3 linked regions of the Elephas maximus indicus genome follow. The protein of the gene in region 2 purifies or fractionates together with the protein of the main gene of each other region. This does not show direct contact. Links are inferred from orthologs where the notes say so. Each region holds a gene or a part of one and is shown on either strand. Other genes may lie near its edges.

Evidence for each region.
Region 1: the proteins of STX7 (region 2) and VAMP8 purify together in Homo sapiens (affinity purification with mass spectrometry; 7 studies listed by BioGRID and IntAct, counting the BioPlex papers as one, with this or other methods). This does not show direct contact. The link is inferred for Elephas maximus indicus from reciprocal best matches to the Homo sapiens genes STX7 and VAMP8.
Region 3: the proteins of STX7 (region 2) and BET1 purify together in Homo sapiens (affinity purification with mass spectrometry; 3 studies listed by BioGRID and IntAct, with this or other methods). This does not show direct contact. The link is inferred for Elephas maximus indicus from reciprocal best matches to the Homo sapiens genes STX7 and BET1.

The regions. Positions count from the first base shown.
Region 1 is NC_064835.1:49,018,959-49,029,467, forward strand, and holds VAMP8 (vesicle-associated membrane protein 8), read right to left. Parts: upstream 4,961-10,509; 5' UTR 4,771-4,960; coding exon 4,768-4,770; intron 3,438-4,767; coding exon 3,279-3,437; intron 1,931-3,278; coding exon 1,787-1,930; 3' UTR 1,473-1,786; downstream 1-1,472. UniProt on the Homo sapiens protein: SNAREs, soluble N-ethylmaleimide-sensitive factor-attachment protein receptors, are essential proteins for fusion of cellular membranes.
Region 2 is NC_064819.1:201,523,072-201,533,657, forward strand, and holds the start of STX7 (syntaxin-7), read right to left. Parts: upstream 4,688-10,586; 5' UTR 4,380-4,687; intron 1-4,379. UniProt on the Homo sapiens protein: May be involved in protein trafficking from the plasma membrane to the early endosome (EE) as well as in homotypic fusion of endocytic organelles. Mediates the endocytic trafficking from early endosomes to late endosomes and lysosomes.
Region 3 is NC_064826.1:63,943,987-63,954,892, forward strand, and holds the start of BET1 (BET1 homolog), read right to left. Parts: upstream 4,961-10,906; 5' UTR 4,808-4,960; coding exon 4,789-4,807; intron 1-4,788. UniProt on the Homo sapiens protein: Required for vesicular transport from the ER to the Golgi complex. Functions as a SNARE involved in the docking process of ER-derived vesicles with the cis-Golgi membrane.

The DNA of each region.
Region 1 (10,509 bases), on a different chromosome or scaffold from region 2:
CTTTTCTGTGTTCTCTTCTCACCAGAGGGCAAGTGCAGCTCTGCCCTGGTATGATTTTACTCCGCCATCAGAGGATGAGGTGAGGCTGCTGTGTCTACTGCCACCCTGAACAGAGTGCATCTATCCTCTCCACTCTGCCACAGAAAATCAGCAGCCACCTGTCTCCACCCCATCCCCAATGTCTTGAATGAAGGCCTCTCTTGAGGAAGGGGATTGAGGGCTTCCCTCTTGGGGCTGATCTTGTGAACACAAGCCCTACACCAAGAAGGTTTCACCCTCACCCCTCCAGGACACCCCCCGCCCCAGGACTGAACATATAGAGTTCATCTCAGTTCCTTGGACCTCAAATTCAGGAGTGGCCTGAGGAAAGAATATGGACATGGTTGTGGCAAAGACTGCCCCAGGGTCTCTTCTGTGGTTCCTTCTCTCTCCCCGGAGAAAACATGATTCTAGGACCTGATTTACAAGTACCCAAAAAACCTCCATTGCCATCAAGTCGATTCCTACTCATAGCAACCCTATAGGACAGAGTAGAACTGCCCCAGAGGACTTCCAAGGAGCTGCTGGTGGATTTGAACTGCCAACCTCCTGCTTAGCAGTTGAATGCTTAACCACTGTGCCACCAGGGCTCCTGATGTACGAGTACTAGTCCCAAATCCAGCCTCCCAACCCTGCCCCTTCCCTACTTCCTTTGCAAAATATGTTTCCAATTCTGGAAAACCCATGACTAGGGGAATAGGGGCACAGATGGCAAGGCTCCTCCCCCCAAAACAAACCAGACTGGGCACTAGAAAGAGTGGCAATGACGGTGGAACCTGGTGGGGAGGAGGCAGGCCTGAAGACACAGAAGCCCATTGTGCATGGACAGGAAGGAGGGCCACAGGCCCTGTCCTGTGACACTGACTGTGCCCAGCCATGGGACGTGGGGAAGAGACGCTTGCCCCCTCAGGACAGCTGAGACCCAGGGGCCCTGCTAAGTCTCAGAAGGGCAGGGCAGGCAACAGACAAGAGCTTGCAGAAGAAAAGAAAAAGCAGTCCAGCTCCTTTAACCCCCAGTTCTAGACTGCAAAAGGGTCAGTGATGGGAGAGGCAAGAGGCCTACACCAGATTCCTAACTGCTATCAGGGAGGCTTCATGTTTGGCTAACACTTCCAGCAGACAAGGAGTAAAGGGACACGGCAGGGTCTAAGGGGGATACATAGGAGTCTTACACACCACACTAAAATGCTGTGAAGGTTTTGCTTTATGCCAAGACCCCCAGAAAACTCTTGCTCTTGAGACCTGTGACAATGAATGGGTTAGGACCAAGAAGGAATAAAGAAATACAGGCAGGCTCCATTTTTCTCCTCCAAACATAAGCTCTCCACCTCTCCAACAACTTGGGTCTCAAGTCAGAGGACCTCAGCCAGAGACTGTTTTCAGGAAGAATAGAAACAGGAGAGTCAAAGGCAAAATGGAAAGGAGAAAGTGCCTCACACACGTGCACGCACGTAGGGATACTGAAAAGTCTTTATTACCCTCAGGCCACCAAGAGTTTCCCAGCCACATACTGGGCCCCGAGTCTCTCCAACCCACTCTGAGGACCCATGAAATGCAGCCACAGTCCAGCTCTCTCCTTCCAGTGGACCAAGGTGCTCCCTGGGGTAGGCAATGTACAGAGGGACCTCAGGCAAGGAGCCGGAGGCCTGGACCCAGCAGCATTGCCTGTGGAGGAGGGCGGGAGAGAGGGCCCCCTTGCCATCAACTATGGAGGGTTGCCCCAGAGGGCAGGGTGGGAGGGGACTCTCTAAACAGGAATGGCACCAGTGGCAAAGAGCACGATGAAGAGGATGATGATGAAGACAACCACACAGATGAGGACTATCATCTTCACATTCTTCCACCAGAACTTCCGGGCCACTTTCTGTGATGTTGTCTTGAAGTGCTCGGACTGTCGGGGATAAGAGACAGTAAGTGACCCAGTGCCTCCTTCCCCTCGGGGTGGAGGTTCACATGCCATAAAAAAAAAAAAAAAAAAAAAAAAAAAAAATTCATGCCATACATCTAAATATTTCAGCTATAAGCTGAGATAACAAACTGTGAAATTAAAAAAAAAAAAAAAAAGTTCTAGCTTCCTACCTTGACAAATGTATCATCAGAACCACCTGGCAGACCACGTTCAAATTTAGAATTCTTAGGCTCCAGAGAGTTCTCTACCTAAACGTGGCAGGGGCCCTGGCTCCCAACCTGCCATCTTCTCTTCTACCCTTGGCACTGTCACACACGTGGAGGGGCCTTGTACACACATGCTCTACCCAGGGGAAAAACGCTTTGGGAAGGCAGACCCTGGGGGAGGCGCAGGCATCTCCCTGGCTCCATGACTCCTTTACCTGTGGGGGCTGCGGAAGCTGGAGGACAGACCTGGGGCATTCTGGGTAGTGGGGCTGGTGTTGGTGTTGGGAGTGAGGAAAACCATACCTCTTCCCCCAACTTCAGTTGCAGAAACTAAGTTTCCCTGGGCCATTCTCCCCAGACTGGGTGGCAGAAAGAAAAAGTAAGTCCCCGGGACTCCAAGGAGCTATACTCAAGATTAACCACAGGACTCAGAAAGCCAGAGCTCGTCTCTCCTGGCTGAATATGGAACCTGAGGCTCCAGCCTTTGCTGAACTTGGAGATACTCCCTTCCTGAGCATCTGGCCCCGGCCCCTGGGTGGAGAGAGAAGAAGGAGGCCTAGCAAGATGTGTGGGAAATATTATTCTAGCCTTCAGCTGGCAGAGGACCCCAGGATCAAAGAATTTCACTCCCCTTCCAGCTCCTCTTTAAAGCTGACTCAGCAAGATTCCAGCAGTTTCCACCCCCTGCCTGCTAACTCCTGGAGAAGGCAAAGGCCCCTAGTAGGATTTCCCAGACTTAATAGTTTTGTCCTGGAGAGGTCAAATCTTAAATAATTGTCAAGGGCATCCTTTAAAGGGAAAACCGGTTTTATAGGAGGGAAGCCTAAGAGTGCATGGTCTGACTGAGCCATCCATCTGTCTCAGAAAATGCCTCAAGCATCAGCCCCCCAATCCCTGATCGTTGATCCCATGCCTTGGGCCCCAGTACCACTCAGTGTAGAAGTGGAAGATCAGAGCAGGGACTCAGCTCACACCAACTCCCAAAACGTAGAAAGGCATAGAAATGGCAAATTGCAAACTTCTGTCTCTCCTGTTCTTTTTTGGCCCACAAATAAATACTTGCCTTGCCCCCAACACACAACCCTCCCTCTCTCCCTCCAGCCTCGGCGGGCTCCCCATCTCACTGTGGCTTCCAGGTCCTCTGTCTTGTTCCGGAGATGGTCCAAGTTTTCTCCTCGGGCCAGGATCCGCTCCACATTCTGGGTCATAATATTCTTGACTCCTTCCACCTCACTCTGCAGGTTCCGCACCCGGTCATTTCCTGAGCCTCCACTGGCCTCCTCCTGGGCAGCAACACAGGGTTAATGAGGCCCAGTGGTGGAGGAACTGAAAGCCTGTCTCAAAGGCCAGAGGAGGGGAAGGGGGCCTTTAGCTTTTTGTAATGCCTGAATTGGTTGCAAAGAGAATTTTTTGTGTATTACTTGTATAATCAAAAGTAAATGTATTCTTTAGCCCCAGAAAGTGAGATCTAGACAGACTAAAGCAAATTCATGTCTGGCTTCTCAGGGCTCCTGATAAGGAAAAGCAGCACACTACTAAGCCCCTCTCTGCTGCTCCTGGCCCCTCTGAGAGGCACAGAAGATGGTGGAGCTGACATCCATGGCGTCCTTTCCCCACCAGTGCAGAGCCCACCACTGTTTACAAGCTCCCAGAGGCATCCCTGCCTTCCCCTGATTCCACAGCCTCCCGCCCCCACCCCCTTAAAAGTGGCTGCTCTGCCCAGCCCAGCCAGCCCTCTCTCCAGCCCCGAAGCTGGAGCGCTGCTAGGCTCCTGGCCCTCCTGGGCAGCCTAGCCATAGTTCCATTGCTGGGACCCAGAGCACTGAGCAGCCTGAGTCCAAGTCCCCCACGAGGTACCCAGGCCGTTGAGCCGCAAACTTCTGCTTTCCCCACCACTTAGCACTATTCCCAGGCCCCAAGCTGCTGCCTGCTTATGCAGATATTAAACTGAAATACCAGGTTCGCTGTTGGGTGAAATGCCAGACAAGCCCTCCCTGGCTGGTGCCTCCTCCAGGTTTGACGATAAGGTTTTTGAACAGGGAGGGGAAAAAACATTATTAAACTCCTGCCTGCTAGGCCCACCGAGCCTCCTGAAACAGGCCAGGGGTATGGGCCAACACTAGACCACAGACAACCAAGTTCTGATTCTTTTACAAACCCTTAAGTCTCCAGTTTACCGACAGGGGGGCAGTTCCTGAGGCCCGGTGGGCAGCCCAATCCTTCAGAGTTTTGTGTAGGAGTAAAAGTGAAAGGCAGGGGTAGAGAGCCTGCCGCTGGCTGGAATTTAAGCTGGAAACAGCAGAGGCTCTACCCTGTAGGGAGCGCCACGACACCCGGGCCGGCTGGAGGAGGAGACTTGTTGGCAGGCAGTTCTAGTCCCGGAATTCGGACCCCCACACGGCTCGGGCCGGCACGGAGGTCAGGGGAGGGCAGAAGAGGGAACAGGCGCCCGGCGGCTCCGAGCCATTTGCGGCCAAGCTGTCAAAGAATACGGGCCACAGGCAGCGCTGGCCCAGCCCTCGGACTCCGCCAGCAACTTCCAGCACCTACAGCCCCCGGCCCGAGCTCCTCGGTCCCGGTTAAGTCAGCCCCTTCCTCGCCCCGTTCGCTCACCATGTCTCCGAGCACAAGGCCTGCCGGCAGCCGAGCTCGCCTAGTAGGCTTCCTCCCGCGGGAGCCCTCGGTTCACTTCCTGCTTACTCCAACTTTCAGCTTGCCCCCGCCCACTCGCATCCCGGGCCGCTCCAGCCACACCTAGCGCAGGTCCCCGCAGGTAGGCGGGCGCCCTGCACTGCCCTCCCAAACCAGGGTCTGGACTTAAGCAACAGGGCTCCCCGGCGGCAAAGGTCTGCAAACTCGTCGGGAGGGAGAAAAGAACTGTGGAACAGCCCTCTAAGTTTCCTGAGGTTGGGCCTTGTGACCTAGAAACTGCAGCCGTCTCCTTTTTCTGCTCTGAATACCTGAGACCGAAATCAATCATAGCACCTGCGAGGCCTGGTTCACTTAGGAATAGAATGCAGATACAGAAATTCCTTGCTGGAAAACCCCTTTTCCCAGGTCCGTGGGTGGGCCGAAAGCATTAACTCCCGCGATGTCTGGAATGCTGTGACCCTGGGCTCTGACGTCAGGAAGGTTTAAGTCCCAGCTGTGTCAGTTTACTAGCCCCATGACCCTGCTTGACCCTTCACCTCTCAGTTTTGCAGATGCTAACACTGGAGCCCTGGTGGTGTAGTGGCTAAGAGCTCAGCTGCTAACCAAAGGGGTTTCCGAGGAGTAGCTGGTGGATTGGAACTGCCACCCTTCTGGTTAGCACCAGAGCTCTCAACCATTGCACCACCAGGGCTCCTTGGTGAAGATTACATATACCCATTGCCTTCGACCCTGGTAAAGATTACAGCCTAGAAAACCCTATGGGGCAGTTCTACTCTGTCACATGGGGTCACTATGAGTCGAGATAACTCAATGGCAACTAAGAACAATACTGACCCCAGCCAGTGCTGTTGAGGGATAAAGAGACAGCACCAGCAAAGTGCCTAGCTCAGGGCCTGTACGGTGCCAGAAAGTACCAGGGAGTGATGGCTCACCACCCTCCTTCCTTCCAAAGGTCAGCAGTCCTGCATTTCCCTTCAGGGGCCCCATGAGGGCTGGCAAGCCTGGTCAGAGGACTGCCCAATAGCCAGAGAGGGTACCAGGGTGAAGGATTCTTCCATCAATCTGGCTCCAGGCCAGGGAAAATCCACCCCTCCCAGATAGTCTTTATCAAGAAGACAGAACAACAACAACAGGGACATGCAGAAGGGAAGAAACATGCCTAACCCATCACAGGAGGTAACAGTTCCGAGAGGTAAATGTCAGCTCCTCCAAAAAATACATTTGTTAAAAAAAGGCTTTAAGAAGTTTTGGACTACTGTATCACTTTGAGGACCCCTGGTGGCACAGTGGTTAAGAGCTATGGCTGTTAACCAAAAGTTCAGCAGTTTGAATCCACCAGCTGTTCCTTGGAAACCCTACGGGGCAGTTTTTCTCTGTGAGTTGGTTTATGAGTAGGAATCGACTCCACGGCAGTGGGTTTGGTACCACTTTGGATTCCTGGGTGGTGTAAGCAGCTGAGTTCTTGACTCCTAACTGAAAGGTTGGTGGTCTTGGAAAAAAGGCCTGGTGATCTGCTTCCAAAAAGTCACAGCCTTAAAAATCCGATGGAGGGCAGTTCTACTCGGCACACATGGGGTTGCCATGAGTTGGAACTGACTCAAGGCCAATGGGATTTTTTTGGTAGCACTCTGAGATACGTTCCTTCCAATTTATAAGGTTTTAATCTCAATTAGATTATTAGATTATGGACACCTGAGATTTTTTTAAATAATATTTTATTGTGTTTTTGGTGAAAGTTCACATAACGAATTAGGTTCCCACTTAACAATTTCTATACAAATTATTCAGTGACATTAGTTACATTTTTCACAATGTGTCAACATTCTCTTTAACTGCCTTTTGGTTGCTCTGTTTCCAGCATTCTATTTTTCCTGCCCCCTTGTCTTCTCATCTTTGCTTTAGAGTAATCATTGACCCTTTGGTCTCATATAGATGATTTTTTTTAATGGAGAAGTGTACTCACAGAGAATATCCCTTATTTTGTGTGCCAATCTGTTATTTCATTAAAAGGTGACATAAGGGGATGGTTTTGGTTCAAGGTTCAGACCTGAATTTTGGTAGACAGGACAATCAGCCCTATAAGCAGGGGTATAACAGCTGATTTCACAGAGAATGTGACTGCCCTACACCTCACCATCCTTAGAAAAGTTGCTAGTACGGCCAGGTGGAGACGGATTTCATCCTGGGGCTATATTTGTGCTGTCCAATACAGCAGCCACTAGCCTAGCCCCATGTGGCTGTTAGAATTTGCAATGTGGCTAGTCTGAATTGAGGTGTACTCTAAGTGTAAAAAAAAAAAAAAACGTTTTTTTCTAAGTGTAAAATACACACCAGATTTCAAAGACTCTGTAGAAAAAAGAATGTAAGTATCTCCTTAATGATTTTATGTATTGATGATGTGTTGGATATTTTGGATATATTGAGTTAAAATAAAAGATATTAATGGAATTAATTTCATCTGCTTTTTTCCCCCCTTTTTAATTTGGCTAAGTAGAAAATTTTAAATTACAAATGTGGCTCAAATTGTATTTCTATTGGACACACTGATCTACACCTTAATATTTATGTGTATTTAGACAACTTACATAGCACCTCTTGGCACATAAAAACCCGCAGTGAATGTTAGCTATCATGATTACTGTTATTAAGAATTCTAGCTGCTAAGTGAGGTGGGTGCTGGAAATAACAACTTGAAGAGGAAGGGCATTGCATTCATCAACAAAAAGAACATTTCAAGATCTATCCTTAAGTATAATGCTGTAAGTGATAGGATAATATCCATACACCTACAAGGAAGACCAGTTAATACGACTATTATTCAAATTTACGCACCAATCACTAAAGCCAAAGATGAATAAATTGAAGATTTTTATCAGCTGCTGCAGTCTGAAATTGATCGAACATGCAATTAGGATGCATTGATAATTACCAGAGACTGGAACGTGAAAGTTGGAGATGAAGAAGGGTGGGCAGTTGGAAAATACGGCCTTGGTGATAGAAACGATGCCAGAGATTGCATGATAGAATTTTGCAAGACCAACAACTTCTTCATTGCAAGTACCTTTTTTCACCAACATAAATGTGACTATACATGTAGACCTTGCCAGATGGAATACACAGGAATCAAATGGACTACATCTGTGGGAAGAGACAATGGAAAAACTCAGCATCATCAGTCAGAACAAGGCCAGGGGCCTACTTCAGAAGAGGCCACCAATTGCCCATATACAGGTTCAAGCTGAAATTGAAGAAAATTAGAATAAGTTCACGAGAGCCAAAGTATGACCTTGAGTATATCCCACATGAATTTAGAGACCATCTCAAGAAAAGGTTTGATGCGCTGGCAACACTAATGACTGAAGACCAGACGAGTTGTGCAAGGACATCAACGACATCATACACGAAGAAAGCAAGAGGTCATTAAAAAGACTGGATAGAAAAAAAATTCCAAAACGGATGTCAAAAGAGACTCTGAAACTCGCTCCTGAACATTAAGTAGCTAAAGTGAAAGGAAGAAATGATGATGTAAAAGAGCTGAACCGAAGATTTCAAAGGGTGGCTAGAGAAGACAAAGTAAAGTATTATCATGACATGTGCAAAGGTCTGGAGGTGGAAAACCAAAAGGGAAGAACACACTCAGCATTTCTCAACCTGAAAGAACAGAAGAACAAATTTAACCCTCGAGTTGCAATACTGAAGGATTCTATGGGGAAAATATTAAATGAGTCAAGAAGCATCAGAAGAAGATGGAAGGAATACACAGAGTCACTGTACCAAAAAGAATTGGTCGATGTCCAACCATTTCAGGAGGTACAGGAACCAATGGTACTGAAGGAAGAAGTCCAAGCTGCACTGAAGGCATCTGCAAAAAAAAAAAGGCTCCAGGAACTGACAGAATACCAACTGCGATGTTTCAACAAGCAGATGCAGCGCTGGAAGTACTCACTAGTCTATGCCAACTGGCTGGAAGAGGTTTATATTTTTGCCTATTCCCAAGAAAGGTAATCCCACCGAATGTGGAAATTATCAAACAATATCATTAATACCACACACAAGTAAAATTTTGTTGAAGATCACTCAAAATCGGTTGTAGCAGTATATTGACAGGGAACTGCCAGAAATTCAAGCCAGATTCAGAAGAGGACACAGAACCAGGGATATCATTGTTGATGTCAGATGGATCCTGGCTGAAAGCAGAGAATACCAGAAAGATGTTTACCTGTGTTTTACTGACTACACAAAGGCATTCAACTGTGTAGATCATAACAAATCATAGATGACATTGCGAAGAATGGAAATTCCCGAACACTTAATTGTGCTCATGACAAAACTGTACATAGATCAAGAAGCAGTCGTTTGAACAGAACAAGGGGATACTGAGTGGTTTAAAGTCAGGAAAGGTGTGCATCAGGGTTGTGCCCTTTCACCATATCTATTCAATCTGTATGCTGAGCAAATAATCTGAGAAGCTGGACCATATGAAGAAGAACAGGGCATCAGAATTGGATGAAGACTCATTAACAACCTGTGTTATGCTGATGACACAACCTTTCTCGCTGAAAGTGAAGAGGACTTGAAGCACTTACTGATGAAGATCAACGACCACACATAGCCTTCAGTATGGGTTACACCTCAACATAAAACAGAAATCCTCACAACTGGACCAATAAGCAACATCATGATAAACAGGGAAAAGATTGAAGTTGTCAAGGATTTCATTTTACTTGGATCCACAATCAACACCCATAGAAGCTGCAGTCAAAAAATCAAAAGACACATTGCATTGGGCAAATCTGCTGCAAAAGAACTCTTTCAAGTGTTGAAAAGCAAAGATGTCACCTTGAAGACTAAGGTGCACCTTACCCAAGCCATGGTGTTTTCAATCACCTCCTATGCATGTGAAAGCTGGACGGTGAATAAAGAAGACCGAAGAATTGACACCTTTGAATTGTGGTGTTGGGGAATATTGAATATATCATGCACTGCCAAAAGAAGGAACAAATCTGTCTTGGAAGAAGTACAACCAAAATGCTCCTTAAAAGTAAGGACAGTGAGACTACGTCTCACATACTTTGGACATGTTGTCAGGAGGGATCAGTCCCTGAAGAAGGACATCATGGTCAGTAAAGTAGAGGGTCAGCGAAAAACAGGAAGACTCACAGTGAGATGGATTAACACAGTGGCTGCAACGACAGGCTTAAGCATGGCAACAATTGTGGGGATGGCACAGGACTGGTCAGTGGTGTTTTGTTCTTTTGTATATAGGGTTGGTGTGAGTTGGAACCAACTTGATTGCACCTAACAAGTGAGGTGGTGGATGGAGAAACATGAGAGGTGCCAAGAAATAGAAGGCCAGAGTGGGATGCCTGAGAGGAACTGCAAAAATTGGAAGAGGATTCCCAGGATCAGGGTGAGAGTTACAATATTTGAGGAGTTACTGGGTTCTGGCATGCCACAGCAAGCCTTGGACACATGTGGGTGTCCCTGAGGGAGCTGACCCTGGCCTCACCCCAGCAACCATCAGGAGGGAACATCCAAAATGCCCACAGTTGGGCCTGCCAACCTGTTCACCCTTACCTTCACCATGCACATCCTTGCAGGCTGGCCTCACCTGTGCAAACACTACACGGTTACCCTTTGTCAGAAGACTACCTTGAGAATACCCACAAAAGGTGAGACACTCAGAGTCTAATGAGACTCTCC
Region 2 (10,586 bases):
TTAGAGCCTGGCTTTTTTGTATAACAGAAACACAACAGCTACTTGCATTATCATTCGATACAGCTGTCTATTACCATGTATGTGTTTTAAGACCACATTTAAAATTCACATTATGCTATAGTTGGTGGTGTTAAAGTTTGTTAACTGCAAAGGGAGATAAATGCAATTTTAATGAAGTCTGCTACTTTTAAGCAATTTGAAGGATTATTAAGTAGGTAGCAGGGAGTCAGGAAGAGTTACATCTCTTCCTTACAGACTACTGCCTTGAATGAGTTTAGCTACTTGAGGGAAATGTTTACATTTCATATAGTGGAAGACATCATGTTTGGCAAAATGAAGGGTCCGAGAAGGTGAGAGAGGCCCTCCCTGAGTTGGACTGACACAGTAGCAGAAATAATGGACTCAAAACATAACAGCAATCATGAAGATGGCACAGGACTGGGCATAGTTTCCTCCTATTATATGTAAGGTCACTACGAGTTGGAGCCGACTGGATGACTAATAACAAACACAATATACACAAATACATGATGGCTAACTATAAACTGACTTAAAAGTTCATGACCTTTATCTATAGGCTAAATCAATGGCAGTTATACAGATATTTGCTTTCTACATCAGTCTCCAGTGCCTAGCCCAAAGCTGCACTATTCTTATTGAATACTTTTGAAAGCCCATTTAGAATACTTATGAGATGCAATGGATCTCTTTTATATGGCCTTTCTCACCAGTCTTGTAACTCCCACCAAATGATTGGGTGAGATTATGTAAAATAAGGTGCTTGTGGCCCACCAAGGGGATTGGACAGCTTGCTAATAATGCAGATAAGCTTCATGGTACCCTTGTGGGGGTGAAGACATGCAAATAAGGTGTATGGAACCCTAACAAAGGAATTGGTCAGTTTTGCCATCCCAGAAGCAGGAAGGGAAGCTACTCCTAGCTACCACCAAGAAAGAGCTAGGAGTGAAGCATGTCCTCTGGACCCGGAATCCCTTTGCTGAGAACCTCCTAGACCCCAGGAGGCAGAGAGAGAGTGAGAGAGAGCTGTGACACCAGAGACAGTGAAAGATGGTGAGAAGCAAGGCACAGAAAGGCGGCAGCAGAGGCAGCAGAACCAGGAGACTGACAGGAGATGGTACAGTGAGCTTCCTAGCCCATGGAGCAAGAAAACTGAATGCCTCTGGCAGGACCCTTACTGGCAGAGTAAGGTGCCTCCAGGCACTTGTCAGAGCTAGGGTCACTAACCCACAGAGCCAGAGAGTTAAGCACCTGTGGGCAGAAGCTTACTGGCCGAGTGGAATGCCTCTGGGCACTTACTGGTGGGGTTAAAGAACTCTGTAACATTTGCTTGAGCAGGTCAGAGGCTGGGCTGGCCCAAAGGCAAGGGACCCAGGGTCAAGACGCCAATGGCCAGGGAGAGGCCTGCCTGTGGGCATGGCTGCGAAGATGTCCTGACTGAAGAACTGTATCCTGAGTCATTCCTAATTCTGATTTGAAACCTGTTACTTCCCAATAAACACCATAATCGTGAGTATTGTCTGTGAGTTCTGTGTAGCCATTGCAACGAATTATCACACCCAGCAGAGAAGTAGAGAGTACCGTGGGAGGGACGGCTGGTGTCAGAATTGGTAAAAAGGCTGGAGAAAGAAAGAATTTTTGACCTTTGCTTCACAGTAATTAGCCATGGGCTGATAATCCTGATTCACCCCCCTTGTGAAGTGAGATGATGGGGTCAGACAACAATACTGCTGCCACACCATTTTTACAGTTGGAGCCCTTTTTTTTTTTTTTTTTACAACTTACTATTATCACTCAGAATAACAAGTATATAATCATTATCTAGACTTGCATTGTCCCACGAAGTAACCACTAACCATACGTGGCTATGTGAAATTAATTAAAATTATGTTAAATGAGAAATTCAGTTCCTCAGTTGTACTAGCCACCTTTCAAGTGTCCAATAACCACATGTGGCTAGTGGCCACTGAATTGGACAGCATAGGTATAGAACATTTCCATCACTGCAGAAAGTTCTGTTAGTCGGCGCTCATCTAGATACCGCAAAAATTATCTTTCTCTGAAGATATAAAAACACTATAAAGAGAAATAAGGGGAGGGAGGCTCAAAGTGCAATAAACATAGTGAGTCTTCTCATCTGCTTCTAAAGAGCACAAAGAACAAAGGAAATTTTATAACAGAATCTTGCATGTCAAACACTACCCTCAGTTATTACTGGACATACTGTAGAATCCTTGATTTGCATTAACCATAAACCTTCATGCTCTTTAAATTTATCATAAGCAAAGGGATTGAAATGGTGAGTTTCATGTTCCTAATTGTGAGCACCAGCAAAAAGCACTGGACGTCCTTCCACCCTATGCCATAACATGTAAGTTCCAGGGCTGGGAGAGGGGCTGTCTATTTTGGGGACCGCTCTATCCTCAGTACCTGGCTACAAATTAAGTGCTTAATAAATATTTGTTGAATCAATGAAGAGAAGTATAGGAACACACACTCTGTCTGAGGGTAAATATTACTATTTCTAAGACACTGAATTCCAGTCCCTTCTTGCAGCTCTTGATACATCCCAGGCTCTCTGCTGCCTCCCGCCTTTGCTCAGGGTCATTTCCTGTTCCTAGAGGGCTCTTCCACATGATCTCCATGTGACTGTGATGGAGCTTCTTCTTATCAGTATGGTCTTATGCTAGAGAAACCTTCTCCATCTGACCTGAGTTCACCACCTGTGCCACTCTCTGTCAATCTCTCTCACTGCTTCATAGCATTCACCACTATTTAAAATGATTTAATCAGTATACTGTTTATTATCTAATCCTACCTCTGGAATATAAATATGAAAGACCTTGACTTGTGGTATGCACAGCACCTGAGGCATAGGAGTTCCACCAACTTCTTTAAGCTCAGCTCCTCTATCACTGAACTATTATACTCTTTGGTTTTAGTTTATAATACCATGGATTACCCTTTCATACACTAAATTGTCAAATTAAATGGAATCACAACAGACTTTACTGAGACTTACAAAGGTATCTTATGATTTACTTTTCGATCACCGGCACTTAGCTGAAGTTTGAGGGTATAACCAAAATTCAAACATTTCCTCTTTATTTTGAATTTATAGGGCTGACTATTATTGGGAGAAGAAGTAAAATGTTTGAAGAAAAAAGATGATGTGGACAATGAGTTAATATGGTATCATATTAACTTCCACAGAAACTTTGAAACTAGAGCATAATTCTTAACTAGTCACAAACAAAGTAGGAGGTTAATTTCTCAAAGTGGCCTGCAAAGCCACCTGTCACAAGACACAGTTTAACACTGTTGTGACCAGTCTCTGCCCAGGTGCAGGTCAGGCTTCCCCAGAGCAGAAGTGTCCATCTATGTTACTAAACAGCACAATATTTCATAATTACGTGCTTGTCTTCCAGATTTCGTGCAAGTTTTAAATTATATAGACCAAAAAAAAAAAAAAAAAGAAATTATATAGACAGGACACAATAATCTGAAGTAAACAAAAAGTAATGTAAATATATGAGCCAAGCAAATGTAAGAAACCTGAAAGAAAAAATACAGCATTTGACCAGAAAGGCAATGTGCTTTTTTCTTCTTCTTCTTGTATATTTGTGTGTGTGTGTGAGAGAGAGAGAGAGAAAGGTTTTCAAGAAAGTAAGCTACCTAGAAGACAAGGGGAAAAAAATTTCTGGGATATTTTATGTAGTTTTAAAGGTCTTTAAGTAAACCTGCTAAAGACAAGTATTAAGGTCAAAGAAAGCTGGGGTGTCAACCAATGTCATCAAACCAAATAGCAAACCGAATACGATGAGCTTCTTCAATAAACATACATGGTTTGCTTACTATAGCCACATATTTTTCAGTTCCTCTCTGTTCAGGAAGAGTACTTTAAAGTGTGTTGATTAAATCCCCGAGATAAAAAGAGGAAGAGGCCCAAGCGTTTCCAGGAGGCACAAGTATTGGTCTAGACGGTCCCTGGATGCCGGAGCTCTGCCGCGTCGCTCCGCGTCCGCCCCGCCAGTGCGCCTCTGCCAGCGGGACCGGGCGCAGCTGCCCGGATGCAGCGAAGCGCGGCGGGCGCCAGGCTGGCCGGGCCGGCCGGGGCCGCCCCTGCTCTCCCCGCGGCGCCGGCCGAGCACACCAGGAATGTGTGCCGCCCCGGGCCAGGGGGCGTGGGCAGGAGCTGGCGATTTTGGAGCCCGGGCCCAACCCTCGCGATCTGCCGCCGCAGAACGCTGGGCGGCGGCTACCTGACAACGCGCACAAACAAGGAGGCGCGGAAGCCGCAGCAGGGGCACCGCGCCTCCGGGACACCGGGCCAGGGCGTCCCCTCCCCGGGGTCGTCTTACCCAGATCTGCTCTGCTTCCTCCTCCTCCGGACACGGTCACCCACCCTCAGAGCGCTACAATTCTCAGCTGATGGGCGGTGGCGCTGGCAAGTCCAATGCGCATGCCTGCAACTCAGCTCAGGGAAGGAGGCGGGGCTCGCTTCTCTCCCATTGGTCCGCGGGGCTGAGTGACAGCGTCCCTCTCCCGCCCCTTCTGGTTAGGAGCTAAGGAATGGCGGGGGTACCAGCAACACTGGCGTGGAGGTGTTTCATTCGGCCTGACTTACTGATGATGAACGCCTTAGCCTGCTTGCAAAAAAGAAGGGGAGGACGTGGAGGGCAGCTGTCTTCTTTATCTGGCGAAGCCAGTCTTCCTGGACACGTGTCTTCACCCCGCCCCATCAGCTCATGCTTATTTCCTAACCGGTAATAGACCCGTATTCACAGCCCCGTGAAGGTGTCGAAACACGTTACACGAACCTAGCGGGAACGATGAAAGAGTAAGTGAAGAGCCACTTCGGTGTGCTCACTTAGTAACCAAGTTTTCGTTGTACAGACAAGCCATCCTAAGCATTCTTGAAGGTCAGGCGCAGTTTTCATAGGGTTTGAAAAGAGCTGGGAATGTTCTAATGACAAATATGCAAACATAAGTATAATGCAATGCATCAGTTGCTTCAGGTGAAAAAAAAATAATTCACTGCATTAATTAGAAGATAAATTGGCTTGGCCTTTCCCTATATTAAGACAATGATAGTTCCTGAAAGGATCATCAGGATATATGATATTTAAAGTCCAGATTTGGGTGTGGGGGGGGGGGGGGGGACAGAACATTTTGGGTTGGTACTACCTGAAAAAATTCTAGATTGTTTGGTGTTTGTTGTTGTTAGTTGCCGCCGTGGAGTCTATTCCAACTCATGGCAACTGCTAACTTAAAGGTTGGCGGTTTGAACACACCCATTGGTACCATAGAATAAAAGGCCTGGTTATCTGTATAAAGATTACTACTGCGTAAAGGTTACTAGCCTGTAACACATAGGGTTGCTGTGTTTGGTGTTTTACATACCAAAAAACAAAAAACGTTGCCCTCAAGTTGATTTGGACTCATGGTGACCCCATGTGTACAGAATAGAATAGCATTCTATAGGGTTGTCAAAGCTGTGGTCTTTGGCCTTTCTTCTAGGTGTCTCTGGGTAGGTTCGAACCACCAACCTTTCTGTTAGTGGTCAAACGCTTAAGCCTTTGCCCCATCCAGGGCCTCCATGTTATACATATAAACCAAAAACCAAACCCTCTGCCGTTGAGTTGATTCAGACTCACAGCAACCCTATAGGACAGAGTAGAACTGCCCTATAGAGTTTCCAAGGAGCACCTGGTGGACTTGAACTGCTGACCTTTTGTTTAGTAGCTGTAGCACTTAACCACTAAGCCACCAGGGTTTCCTGTTATATGTAAAAACAATATACATAAATTAGTAAGGTCAGTCAGGGCTAAGACATCAAGTATCTCAGTCTATTCCTCATTTTCTCATTTTGACAGAGGAATAGGTCCAAGAAATGTTTTTTCTCTCATCTTTAGTAAAGAAAACTACTTTAAAAGTGGGATAATAAGCAGCAACTTACATACTGCCTCAATGAGGTAGGGGTAATAGGAAGAGGTGGGTGAAATAGGGAGAGGTGGGCATGCTGGTTAAGGAGAAAGCACACACCCCATCCAAAGGGACAGCATGATTCAGCTAGAATCAACTACAGCCTTTCAGCAAAATTGGACCAGTATTGTCCAATTATCTGATTTTTCAGAAGATATGATGGAAATTCAGATTTTTATGTGAAATCTCTCCTTCCAGTATTCCTAATTTTCATAAAACATTCTGTGATCAGACAAAATGTGTGTGTTTCAGCCTCTTTGTTGTTATTAGCTGACATCAAGTTGGCTCCAGTTCATGGTAACCCTATGCATAACAGAGCATAATGTCGACAGATTCTGTGCCCTCTCCACAATCGTTGGCATGTTTGAGTTCAGTAGGACAATATTTTGTTCTGATCTATATAGTTTTCACTGGCTAACTTTCAAAAGTAGATCATTAGGCCTTTCTTCCTAGACTGTCTTAGTCTGAAAATTTCACTGAAACCTGTCCACCATTGGTGACCCTGATGGTATTTAAAATACTGGTAGCATAGTTTCTAGTATCATAGTAACACGCAGACTACCACAGCACAACAAATTGAGAGACAGGTGGTGGTCAACCTCTATAACAGACAACCACATCAACCTTAGAGTATCAAAGGTGGAAAAGACATTACAGAAAATCTAGCACTACTTCCTCTTTTCACAGACTAAAGAAACTAAAACCCAAAGAAACTTAAAGCCACACAGATAATTTTGAGCAGCACAGGTCCCTATAGCCTACTTCAGAGTCTAGAGTTCTTTCCATCATCATTCATTTGGCAAATATTCACCAAGAGCCTGCCAGGTGTCCGGCACTGTGCTAGGCACAGTGGATATCATGATCAATAGGATATAGTATTTCCCCTCAGGGAGCTCAAAGAATGAGATCCTTCCCTGGACATTGTAAAAAGGTGATATGATAGAGATTTGTACAAAGCACAGTGGGAGCCCAGAAATGGAGGTGCCTTACTGTGGGTACAGAGGACTCCAAAAAGAATTGTCAGCAGAACCTTGAAAAAAAAAAAGTTGTGTAAAATTTCACTAGGAAGACAAGAAGGGAAAGGACATCCAGGCAAAAGGAAGAGCATATAAATGTTCATGAAATCAGAGGTAATCATAAACTTTTAGGGATCTATACATAAATTTATTTAGATAAAGCATAGCAGATTATATCTTAGTTACCTAGTGCTGCCATAACAAAAAATACTGCAAGCGGGGTGACTTTAAAGAACAGGAATTTATCTCCTCATGGTTTTGGAAGCTAGAAACCAAAATCAGGCCATCTGTTCTAAGGGAAAGTGCTTCCTTATCAGTAGCCCTGGGCGTTCCTTGGTTTGTAGACAACTCCTTGAATGATCTCTTCCTCCTGCGTGTCTGTGTCCATTCTGCTCTTTTTATAAAACACCACTCAGAAGTAATTAGATTTAGGATTCACCCTACTCTGGTATGACCTCATTAACATAATAAAAGAAAACCCCTGTTTCCAAACAGGGCCTTACTTACAGGTACGGGGGTTCAGGTTTCAACATATTGTTCAGGGGACACAATTCAATCCATAACAGATGGAAATCTGGAAGGCAATTTGGGCTTAGGTAATGAAAAGCTTCTGTATTATATTAAATGACGATCTAATAGAAGTTGAGCCATTAAAGGATTTTAATCAAGGGTGTGATGCACTCATAATTCTACTTTACAAAGAAAATTCTGGAGAAGTGGGGAAAATTAAAGGGAACTGAAGGTGGAGAGACACCACTTAGAAGGCTGTTGTAATAGTAACATTCCCTTATTAAGAGTCTCCTTAGTATTTTTTTTTTTTTTTAGTATTAGTTTTTTTTTTTTTTTAGTATTAGAGATATTCAAGGACTGCAGTAAGGCAAATACATTGGAGAAGAAATGAAGATTGGTTTGAGAAATATTTAAGAAGTCTTGGAAATCAACTAAATATGGAGAATGAAGAGATAACTCCTATTCTTATGACATGCAAAACTGAGGTGAATATGATGTAGTTATCTAAAATCTAAGATTACTAAGAAAGCAATTGCAGTTTGAGGATGGAGTGGTGAAGTGAGGTGTTGTATTTAAGATTCTGGGGAATGATGTAATTCGTGTCATGGAATCATATACGTGAAAAATATTGAATTGGCAAATGTCATGCTATCTGTATTTTTACAACAGTGAAAAAAGATTCTGGGGATGCGATATCCAGTAGGACATGCCCAGTGTCATCGGGCACTTGAAAATGTGAGCTAAATTCAAAATAGAGTCCTGGTTGGAGCTATGGTAAGAGATGAGCTCATTAACTTGAAGGGTCAGATGTTATGAACTACCTATGTTTCAGGTATGGACAGAGAAAGAGAAACCCTGCAAAGATTTGTAATGAGAGAGATCAGAAATAAATCAGGAAAAAGTAAAGTAGAGAATGAAGGAATGCATTTCAAAAAGGGAATAGTCTGTGATGATGTCACATATCACAGAAAGTTCAAGTAAACGAAGAACTGAAAGTCGTGCACTTGAGAATTAGGAAGTCTTTGGTAAACTTAGGAAGAAGTATCTCAATCATTCGAGAAAATGTCATGAAGCAACTTACATCTACATGAAGTCTAGTGCACTTCCCAAACATCCTTTCCTGGTCCCTTTGATAGAACCCTGGGCTGTGGGAGAGGAAGGTACTAAGCACTATAGAAAAAGAACCTGAGGCTAAGTGGCCTCTTTGGGTTATCCTGCTAACTTCTGACTGAACTGGGGACAAATCTCAGCTGTCTGACTCCTCTTCTTGGGCTTGTTCCAATTTCCCATGTTTTAAAATACGTTATGAGTGGATTCTTTCCAGGTCTTTTGAAAAACTAAAAATGAGATTTTACCTCTTTGTATTCAAATGGAAAGAAAAAAAGTACAGGGAACCCTGCAAAATTCAGAGGACTAGAGGATACATGTCTTCTAAAGGCGTTTCTGCCTGCTACTTAGTGAAATTCAGCCAGGTGCCTTGGACCTAGTAGGGCTCAAAATGTTCCTTTAACAAATGCTAATGTCACCATGTCACCTTGATGGCACTGGTGTGTTTTTTTTTTTTTTTTTAATGTCACCTCTGGGCCCTGGTGGCACAGTGATTAAAAGCCACAACAATCTACATTTGCTAACCAAAATGTCAACAGTTCGAATCCATCAGCTGCTCCTTGGAAACCCTATGGGGCAGTTCTAATGTCTATAGGATCACTATGAGTCGGAATAGACTTGATGACAATGGGTTTGGTTTTTTTAGGGTGGGGGAATGTCACCTTTCCCAAAAACAAATCCTTTACACTTGCAAGATTTACCTATGGCAGAAATCTTGTGATTTGGAATATTCAGAGTTAGCAATTCTTGATATTCTGTCCTTCTGGCAGAGATTTTGAAGAACAATCAGAAGTAAGTCCTTGGGTGGGAATTGATCGTCTGCATACTTACCATGTCATTAATATAAATACCACTTACATAACCTCTGCCGTGTAGGATAGAGGTTGTTCACTGCTGTGTTGACAAGCATCTGGAACAATGATGCTAGTGAATGGTAGAGTGTAACTGCCTGCTCATTTAACAGTCACTATTATTTTTTTTATAAACCAAACATATTTTTAAAGTGCCCACTATGTAGACTGGTAGGAGAGCCAGAGAAGTGTAAAACTTGACCCCTGGGTCAGGAGATTTGCAATTGAGGCAAGGAAACAAGAACGTACTCAAAATGTAAATACGGCAAGACAAGAAATTTCTGTGGGTTGGTGATAAATGACAGGTATAGGCTGACTTATGATTTTTTTTTTAAGTTGCAATGGTAAAACCACCGTGCTAGATTTAAAACGCAGCTTAAATTGGTTTTTAATAAATAAGAGTTTCATTGTGCCTTATTTTTAAGCTCCTCCCACATCTCTCTCCGGTTGTTGTTGTTGTTAGGTACCATCGAGTTGATTCCCACTCAAAACGACCCTGTGTACAACAGAGTGAAACACTGCCCAGTACTGTGCCATCCTCACAATCATTGCGATGTTTGAGCCCACTGTTGCAGCCACTGTGTCAATCTATCTCATTGAGAGTCTCCTTCTTTTTTGCTGACCATCTACTTTGCCAAACATGGTGTCCTTCTCCAGGGACTGGTCCCTCCTGATAACAAGGCCAAAGGATCTGAGACAAAGTCTCACCATCCTTGCTTCTGAAGAGCATTCTGGCTGTACTTCTTCCAAGACAAACTTGTTCATTCTTCTGGCAGTTGATGGTATGTTCAATATTCTTTGCCATCACCAGGATTCAAATGCATCATTTTTTCTATGGTCTTCATTATTCATTGTCCAGCTTTCACATGCATATGAGACAACTGAAAATATCATGGCCTGGGTTAGGCACAACTTTGTCTTCAAAGTAATATCTTTGCTTTTGAACACTTTAAAGAGGTCTTTTGCATCAGATTTGCCCAAAGTAGTGCATCTTTTGATTTCTTGACTGCTGCTTCCATGGGCGTTGATTGTGAATCCAAGTAAAATGAAATCCTTGACAACTTCAGTCTTTTATTTGTTTATCATGATGTTGCTTATT
Region 3 (10,906 bases), on a different chromosome or scaffold from region 2:
GAACCAAAAAAGACCCCTGGAGGGCGTTGCAGACCATATATGCTTATAATATTCATACTTCATGTTAAAAATTAATAGCCAGACAGAGAACAGAACAATTTTTTTCCACTACCTTCTCTTAATCAAAGAATATTGTTAATTTAAATATACATTAATTAATTGCCTACCGATTCCCCCCAAGAGACTAAAATAAGCACTGATATCTATACAAGGATAGCCAGAAAACATTCCCTGCTCAATGGAAGCATATATTCTAATACAAAATCTAAAAAGGCTAACATCAACCACCCATTAAAGAAGCCTGACTGTGAAAGGAGGGGGAGAAAGAGGATAATATAATGAGAGGGAACTCTGAGCAAAAGGAAGGTCCATTACCCGCACCTCTTTCTCCTAAATATAGGGACAGTTGAGTGGGGAAGAGCCGAAGGGAGGAAAACAAACAAGAAAAATAAAAAGTTGAAGCTCTAGAAGAGGGATAAAATAACTTGTGGGGACTGTTAGCTGAGAAGTAGGAGAGGGATTCATTCATTCTTCAACAAATATTTGAGTGCCTACTATATGCCAGATCCATTGTTCTACATGCTACTTTTATGGAGCTTATCTTCTAAGGGATGACATTTAGAATGCGGTAACCACCACCCTGCTAATATAGTACTTCATAGTCATCAGGCAATCAAACAACAGGTGGAGTAAGCATTTAATAGTGAATATATAAATAAATTGGTTGGGGGACTGAGGGAAGAAAGAATAGCTGAGGGTTTATTTAACCACAAAAACGTTTAAGTCTTTTAACAATCGATGCCGTCGACTTTCTTAGTAAAGGAAGAGAAAGGATAATCTGCTAAAGTGGTGATCCTTTGGAATAAACAATAAGGAGAATGTTGGAGGAAGGTGAACAGGGTTACACAGGATTACCAGGGAAATTAGACAAACCTAGCAGATGGAATTCATTGTAATGGTTTCAATCCTCTTGGAAACGTAACTTTTCTACAGAAGGGTTCATCAGCCTAGGTTAGCAGATGAGAAGCTGGATGGTTGGACTGATCTAGAGTTGGAAGTTTACAATGTAGGAGCTGCAGAACAACACAGCCCCCAATCTTTTTGAGATTGCTTGCAAAACGAATGGTTGAAGATGTGGATTGTGGGGACAAGATTAGACAGGGATTCAAGCAGATCTGACAGTGGACTGAGCATGTGGGGGTAAGGATGATATAGAAACAATATGTCTCAGTGAACTCAAACAGCAGGTAAAGTGACAGCAAGAAGTGCAAGGACAGGAGTCCTGGGTAGCTGGTAGCTGAAGGATGGTTGAGGTGTGAACAATAAGCTCTTTTAAGGCACAGCACAAATTCACTTTCTCTAGAAAGCAAAGCTGACTACTCCCTCCTCCGACTTCTTACATTTCTGGCTGTGTGTAACACTTACTATACACCCTAGACTGCACTATGAGGGTAGAAGTTAAGTCTGTTTCATTCATTGGTGTACATCCCCCTCAAGACTCCCTACACACTCTTCAAGACACTCAAATATGGACACACTCAATAAATACATGTAAATGAATTAATTAATGAATAGAATCTGAAATCACTATTATTCAACTTTTCCTGTGCATGCCTTTCTCAACAATAGAATCATATGCTTCTCTGACGGTGTTTCATGCTTCTCCTATGTTCGCCATGTAGGAGGCACCTATGCAACCTCCACCACAAAAATCACAGCAAAATGTTGAACAAGTGCGTTCCAAACAGAGGAGTACTGTTGCATTACCTCTACTGCTGACACACCGAGCCAGAAAGCCTTCCATACCACATGTTACTACACAATTTTGGAACTCGAGTGACTGGGCATAATTCTTTTCCCCATTCAGTAATTAAAACTCATTTTAAAAAACGTATTCTCCATCAATCAATGATATTTTGTACGAACTCTACATTAGTAAGAACCAATATCCTTAAAGAAACGGACAACGTCTTCTACTTGCTTTATGTGACTAAGATTTTGAATATATAGCATTTGCCCAAAAGGAATTACAGACTGTTTGTACTTAATCATTTAGTAACTTCGCCACAGAATTTGTTTCATAAAATAATGGTGACTTGCTTTATTTTCTTTGTTTTGCTCTTTTAACCTAACTTAATTCTAACTTTAGAGGTCTTCCATACTGTTCCATTTATTCAAAGCAGACATTCTCCTTTTATTTAGGGCCCAGAAATCTTTAAATGCACATTTCTCCTATTGAAGAGTTATCTTTCCTCACACCATCATCCACCCCTAAAATAAAGAAAATCAAATAAAATGAGGAGCTGCTTTTCCAAACTTAACCACCCTACTTTTTGTGTAAATTACTGCTTTGAAAAACTGTATAAAAGCCAGAACGTGCCAAAGGTAATCCTTAGCCTTTGTTAATTTAGATAAATGCTACCCCTTTTAGGAAGTTTCTATCAATAACTGAGCCAAAATCATTTAGATATTCATGTGAGATCTGGCAGCTTCTGCACACAAATATCTACAGGTTCATTATTTATCCCTAAGTTTGAAATTCCAGATTGATATGCAGTAATACCTTAAAAAGCAAGTAGTGTATATTAAAAGAAAAAAAAAAAAAACCCTTTTCATAACAAAGTAAATTTTATCAATTCACTTAAGTAATCACCAATGACCTTTTATCTCTGCTTCAGTGGTTCTCAATCCTGGCTGATGCTCAAAACCAGCAGAGAAAGAGCATTAAAACAAAATACTCTATGGCTAGACATTCTAATTTACTTTGGTTTGGGTTGGGGTCCAGGTAGCAACACTTTAAAAGCTCCCTAGGTGATTCTAACATACAGTCAGGGTGGAGTACCACTTCTTTAGTCCCTTTCCTGCAATGTAATATGGCACACTACTGCAAAATACATCCAAAGGGGCCCTGAGACGAAGTCCAAACTTCTTGGTCTGGCACTTGAAGATCTCCACAGTGCACTTCCATCCCCCCTATTTCAACGAAATTAGCTTAATTATAATCCCTTAAACATCTCATTCACATTCTAATGGACTCAAGGATACAAATGATGAAGATAAGTTATAGTACAAAGTGGTAGCTATGTATGTGGTCAAATACTATATTAAGTTCTACAGATGGTGGATGTCTCAGGGATTTCAGAGATTACTGTGTACTTTGTGGAGACTTAAGAACTTGAACTAATCTTGAATAATAGAGAGAAAAAACGGTAAGTTCCAGATGAGAGCATGACGAGTGGGGGAAAAAAAAAATGTACGGTTGCTGATAATTGGTGTTGAGTTGGTGCAGACTCACGCCGATCCTCTGTCAGTGCCAACTCAACAGCAATTATCAACAGCCCTATACTTTTTTTTTTTTTTTGGCTTACGTTCTCATCTGGAACTTCAGCTTTCCTAACCTACATTATTCAAGGATTAGTTCAAGTTCCTAAATCTCCACAAAATACACAGTAATCACTGAAATCCTCGAGACATTCACCATCTGTAGAACTTCATACAGTATTTGACCATATACGTAGTTGCCACCTTGCACTATAATTTATCTTTGTACCTAGTCCTATTCCCCAGGTAGACTGCAAGCTTGGGGGAGGGAGCACAAATAGGGCCACAGTGACTATATACCTAGGATACTTAAAAGAAAAAAAAAGATACTTAGGGTCTCTCAAATACACAATAAATGTCTGTTGCTGTTGTTGATGAAAAAAAACATTTGGGCACACAAAACTAATCTTGCTCATAATTAGTTCTTTTTTTCCTTTTCAATTTACCTGGCCAACTTTCTGTTATCCAAATATTCATAAAAATTACATAAAAAACTGTGTCTCATGCTAAATTTTATAAATCAACATACAAGTTTAAAGTTACTGGCAACTTTTATTTAAGTGACTGACACATTTTTAGAAAACTTTTTTTTTCTTTTTCCTGTGTTATATAGTGCCTGAGAAAGGCAACATTATCTTTTGAAAAAATACTTCATAGATTTTCCACTATATTGCACACTAATTTTGCAGATTTTTTATATTCTTACTGTTTTTGGTATTGTCACTTTATAGAAAGCTTTATAACCAGAAAATGCTGTTCTAATAGCGTGTATTATAAAATATAAAGAACCACTAAAAATCCACATTCATAACTTATTTCTGCTGCTTGGTGTACCTTCATAAGCCAAAAGATCAAAAACAAATGTTAATTCGCCAAGGCTTACCACACTCCAATGACTTATGAGTGTAACAAGGTTCAGACAAGAAGTGCCCCGGGTAAAATCACCTTTGACCCCGATGTTACATACCAGGGCCTTTAACAGTAATGACACGTACATTTTACCTTTGTAACTCATTGTTATCAGGCTAACATGATCCTTATTAGCGTGCTTCGCATGCACACCTCACTTTTCAAACTTCGTTTCTTCTGAAGAAAATAAGATTAAGGGGCAGTAGAAAAAGAGAAACCAGACAGCCTTTGCGAAACTCAGTAATCACGCTCTGTAACTAGACTAAAGAAACTTAACAACCGAGTTGGTGTCTGTATATACCCCCCCCCCCCCCCCAGTCCTCAAGCACTCTCTCTAACCTACCATCCAAACTGGGTCTGACCTAAACTTAAGGAAATCCCTATGATCTGGGGCAAATGTTTCCACCTGGCACTGTGTCCCAAGATGCCCTGCCTACATCTCGCTTTCTGGCCCATATGCTAGTGCCAGAAGACCGGTCCGATTTCCTCCCACGCCCCCGCGCCCACCGCGGCCGGTTCTAGGGCCCCCAGAACTTCCAACTTTATCCCTCCTCTTACCCAGGCCTGCACGCCTCATCCTGCCAGAGAAGGGCAGGAAAAGGCGGGAAGAGGGTAGGAAGGAAGGGGCGAAGGAATCACCGGACCGCGTCTTCAGCACCAAAGTCCGGCAGAACACTAACTTCTCCCAAAGCGCCACGACACCAGTGAAGTCCAAACACCGCGCTGGCTGATGGCGTCACCCGGGCACTTATTGGTGCCCGTGAGGCTTCTTGAATAGCATTCTGGGAAATGTAGTTCGTCGCCTCCATAAGAGGCGTACCGTGGGCATGGTATGGCAGTCCCACTCCACAAGCCCAGGAATCTTCGGGAAAAGGGGCGAGCGTCCTAGGGAGTAAGACTCAGAGTCTCGAGTGCTGCGCTCCCAGCCTTTTGGACCTTGTTTTTAGTGTATTCGACCCCGACTTTAACATACACATCTGCTTTTACCTGACCGCGAGAGGATAGTTGACACCTTAACTATTTCAGCCTCTTCATCTCACATCCAGAATCAATTCAGGGCAAAAAGGGCAAGTCAGTGAAAACTTTGTTCAAGTTTCTCATATTACAAACAAGTCATTTGAGGCTCACAGAAGGGAAGGAAGAGGGTAACCTATTTACGCCGGGTCACTCACTAAAATAGAAAGAACCTAGCTCCTTGGAGTAGGTCCTACTCGAATAGTAGCAGATAAGTCTCTACCTTAAAGCCTTTTTTGTAAAATACCCACCAGAGCAACTTTTAGTGAGTTATTAACCTGGTCCAAACCAAACCCATTGCCCTCGAGTAGATTCCGACTCATAGCGACCCTATAGGACATAGTAGAATGGCCCCTTAGAGTTTCCAAGGAGCACCTCGTGGATTCAAACTGCTAACCTTTTGGTTAGCAGCTGTAGCACTTAACCACTAAATTCAATAGTGTTTTGATGGAAAAACAGTTTTCATAAGAGGAAAACAAACCACAATTCTCTAAAAGCAATGGAATTAAATGAAGATTGCACCAGGGACAATTATTATTGCAAATAAACACCAAAGGTTCAATAAGAAAAATGATGGCAAGGCTCCTCTTTTTTATTTAAAATCTGTGACATTCTATAATCATAACATGTCAGAATGAAACTACTAGGACAGAAATAACAAGAATGTTGACACAATGTGAAGAATGTAACCAATGTCACTGATCATTATGTCTAGAAACTGGAATGGGAGCAGGTTTTGCTGTGTCTATTTTCACCAAAAATTAAGTTTAAAAAAATGTCAGAAAAATTATCTTGCTTAAGGAAGTCTTACTCATATAAGTATAAAAGTCATTGTTACTTAAAAAAAAAATTTGATGTCATGTTTACCAAAACAGACCATTTAAATTATGTAAAGCTTACTTACCCTTTTGTAAGCTACTTTCCATTCTAAAAATGTATGGATATAAGAATAAAATGTAGCAAAAGGAAAAAAAAAGTATATCAATTATATAACTCCAAGTAAAAGGCAACAACAGTAAATACCAGTACATACACAATCATGCAATAACAGTAATAACAATAATTTATGAGTGGATACATAGGTAGATACGTAAGCTGAACAGATGTAGGATGGCATATGGGAGTACACCCATATATAGGTTTGGGAAAGATATTTCTACAAACACATTTGTATGTGCTGCAAATGTATCCATGTATATAGTAGAACACACAGGGGGCACACTTATGAAAACTTCCAGCTGTAACCAAATGCCTCAAGGGAAAGAGGCACTGGGCTTGAAGGCTTAGGGCCATAGTCTTGGGGAACATCTAGGTCAATTGGCATAACATAGTCCATAAACATAATGTTGTTCTATATCCTCGTTTTGTGAGTAGTGACTACGGTCTTAAAAGCTTCTAGCAGCCATTAATATACAACTATTGGTCTTTTTCCATCTGTAGCAAAGAAGAGTAAGAAAAGCAAAGCCTTAAGGAAACAATTAGTCCAAAGGCCTAATGGAGCACAGGAACCACAGCCTCCACTAGCCCAAGACTAGAAGAACTAGATGGTGCCCAGCTACCAATGCTGACTGCTCTGACCGGGATCACAGTAGAAGGTTCTGGACAGAGTGGGAGAAAAACATAGAACAAAATTCAGGTTCATAAAAAAGACCAGCCTTATGGGTCTGATAGAGACTGGTGGAAACCATAAGACTCTGACCCTTAGACATCCTCAAGTTCTAGAACTGAACCCGGTCCCAGAGATAACCTTTCCTTTCAGCCAAATAATAGACAGGCCTATAAAGTGAATAATAACACCAGTGAGGAACGTGCTTTCTCAGAACAATCAACCATACCAGACCTAAAGGGTAGCATTTGCCCAAAAACAAAGCTCGAAAGGCAGGAAAGTTGTGTGAATGGAAATGGGCAAATCAGGGAGGAAGTGGGTAGAGTGCCGTCACGTTGAGGGGACAGCAATAATGCCATGAAACAAAATGTGTATAAATTGTTAGATGGGAAACTAATTGGCTCTGTAAACTTTCACCAAAACTACAATAAAGTGTTCAAAAAGCAAAAAAGAATATAACTCCAGACAGGCAAAGCTGGTTCATACTGAGTTTGTGACACAAACATCCAAATAGTTGTTTATCATTACTATGAAAAACGAAACAAACAGCCAGCTGCCATGGAGTCTACTCCAACTCATGGACATCCCATGTATGCCAGAGCAGAACTGTGCTCCATTGTTGTTGGGTGCCTTTGAGTTTTTTCTGATTCATAGCAACCCCATGTGACAGAGTAGAACTACCCTATAGAATTTTCTTGGCTGTAATCTTTATGGAAACAGATCAGCAGCTTTTTTTCCCTCAGAGCTACTATGTGGGTTTGAACGCCCAGCCTTTCGGTCAGCAGTTGAATGCTTAATCGCTGTGCCACCAGAGCACACCATTAAAACCAAAACCCATTGCCATCGAATTGATTCCAACTCACTGCAACTACCAGTCTCAAATTAGGATGATCTCATCTGAGATTTTGTGTTCAAAAAAACTTGGGAGGAAAAGAAGAATAATGAAATGCTACTACAGTTGACAAAGAATTCCAGAAAGAATTCTTATGATTTTTTTTATTTAAATTTTTTTCTTTTCTTTTTTAAATTAAAATACCTGTTTTTTTAATTAAAGGCCAATAAAGTTCTTGGAGATGAATAGCATTTAAAATTTTTCTCTATACTCACAGGCTAATTTTGTAGAAAATGTGTAATCTTTGAGGCTCCCTGGGAAATTAATAACTGTTGTTGTCGTTGTTGTTAGGTGCCGTTGAGTCGGTTCTGACTCATAGTGACCCTATGCACAACAGAATGAAACACTGCCCAGTCCTGCACCATCCTTACAATCGTTGTTATGCTCGAGCTCATTGTTGAAGCCACTGTGTCAATCCACCTTGTTGAGGGTCTTCCTCTTTTCCGCTGACACTGTACTCTGCCAAGTATGATGTCCTTCTCCAGGGACTCATCCCTCCTGACAACATGTCCAAAGTATGTAAGACGCAGTCTCACCATCCTTGCCTCTAAAGAGCATTCTGGCCACACTTCTTCCAAGACAAATTTGTTCGTTCTTTTGGCAGTCCGTGATACATTCAATATTCTTCACCAACACCACAATTCAAAGGCATCAACTCTTCTTTGATCTTCTTTATTTATTGTCCAGCTTTCACATGCATATGATGTGACTGAAAATACCATGGCCTGGGTCAGGTGCACCTTAGTCTTCAGGGTGACATTTTGCTCTTCAACACTTTGAAGAGGTTCTTTGCAGCAGATTGCCCAATGCAATGCGTCTTTTGATTTCTGCTGCTTCTGTGGCTGTTTATTGTGTATCCAAGTAAAATGAAATCCTTGACAACTTCAATCTTTTCTCCATTTATCATGATGTTGCTCATTGGTCCACTTGTGAGGATTTTTGTTTTCTTTATGTTGAGCTGTAATCCATACTGAAGGCTGTGGTTTTTGATCTTCATTAGTAAGTCCTTCAAGTCCTCTTCACTTTCAGCAAGCAAGGTCGTGTCATCTCCATAATGCAGGTTGTTAATGATTCTTCCTCTGATCCTGATGCCCCGTTCTTCTTCATATAGTCCAGCTTCTCATATTATTTGTTCAGCATACAGATTAAATAGGTGTGATGAAAGAATACAACCCCGATGCACGCCTTTCCTGACTTTAAACAAGTCAGTATCCCCTTGTTCTGTCCAAACAACTGCCTCTTGATCTATGTAAAGGTTCCTCAAGAGCACAATTAAGTGTTCTGGAATTCCCATTCTTCACAGTGTTATCCATAGTTTGTTATGATCCACACAGTCGAATGCCTTTGCATAACCAATAAAACACAGGTAAACGTCCTTCTGGTATTCTCTGCTTTCAGCCAGGATCCATCTGACATCAGCAATGATACCCCTGGTTCCACATCCTCTTCTGAAACCGGCCTGAATTTCTGGCAGCTCCCTGTCGATATACTACTGCAACCGTTTTTGAATGATCTTCAGCAAAATTTTGCTTGCGTGTGATATTAATGATATTGTTCTATAATTTCCACATTCAGTTGGATCACCTTTCTTTGGAATAGGCATAAATATGGATCTCTTCCAGTCAGTTGGCTGCGAAGCTGTCTTCCATATTTCTTGGCACAGACGAGTGAGCACCCCCAGAGCTGCATCTGTTTGTTGAAACATCTCAGTTGATATTCCATCAATTCCTGGAGCCTTGTTTTTCGCCAATGCCTTCAGAGCAGCTTGGACTTCTTCCTTCAGTACCATCGGTTCCTGATCATATGCCACCTCTTGAAATAGTTGAACATCAACTAATTCTTTTTGGTATAATGACTCTGTGTATTCCTTCCATCTTCTTTTGATGCTTCCTGCGTCGTTTAATATTTTCCCCATGTAATCCTTCACTATTGCAACTCGAGGTTTGGAATTTTTTTTCAGTTCTTTCAGCCTGAGAAATGCCAAGCGTGTTCTTCCCTTTTGGTTTTGCATCTTCAGGTCTTTGCACATGTCATTATAATACTTTGTCTTCTCGAGAGGCCCTTTGAAATCTTCTGTTCAGTTCTTTTACTTCATCAATTCTTCCTTTTGCTTTAGCTGCTCGACGCTCAAGAGCAAGCTTCAGAGTCTCCTCTGACATCCTTCTTGGTCTTTCCCTTCTTTCTTGTCTTTTCAATGACATCTTGCTTTCTTCATGGATGATGTCCTTGATGTCATTCCACAACTCGTCTGGTCTTTGGTCACTAGTGTTCAATGCGTCAAATCTATTCTTCAGACGGTCTCTAAATTCAGGTGGGATATAGTCAAGGTCATATTTTGGCTCTTGTGGACTTGCTCTGATTTTCTTCAGTTTCAGCTTGAACTTGCATATGGGCAATTGATGGTCTGTTCCACAGTCAGCCCCCGGCCTTGTTCTGACTGATAATATTGAGCTTTTCCATTGTCTCTTTCCACAGATGTAGTCAATTTGATTTCTGTGTGTTTCGTCTGGTGAGGTCCATGTGTATAGTCACTGTTTATGTTGGTGAAAGAAGGTATTTGCAGTGAAGAAGTTGTCGGTCTTGCAAAATTCTATCATTCGATCTCCGGCATTATTTCTATCACCAAGGCCATATTTTCCAACTACTGATCCTTCTTTGTTTCCAACTTTCGCATTCCAATCACCAGTAATTATCAATGGATCTTGATTGCATGTTTGATCAATTTCAGACTGCAGCAGCTGATAAAAATCTTCTATTTCTTCATCTTTGGCCCTATTGGTTGGTGCATAAATTTGAATAATAGTCGTATTAACTGGTCTTCCTTGTATGCGTATGGATATTATCCTATCACTGACAGCATTGTACTTCAGGATAGATCTTGAAACGTTCTTTTTGACAATGAATGCAACACCATTCCTCTTCGAGTTGTCATTCCCAGCATAGTAGACTATATGATTGTCCAATTCAAAATGGCCAATACCAGTCCATTTCAGCTCACTAATGCCTAGGATATCTATGTTTCTGCGCTCCATTTTATTTTTGATGATTTCCAATTTTCCTAGATTCATACTTTGTACATTCCAGGTTCCGATCATTAACGGATGTTTGCAGCTGTTTCTTCTCACTTTGAGTAGTGCCACATCAGCAAATGAAGTTCCTGAAAG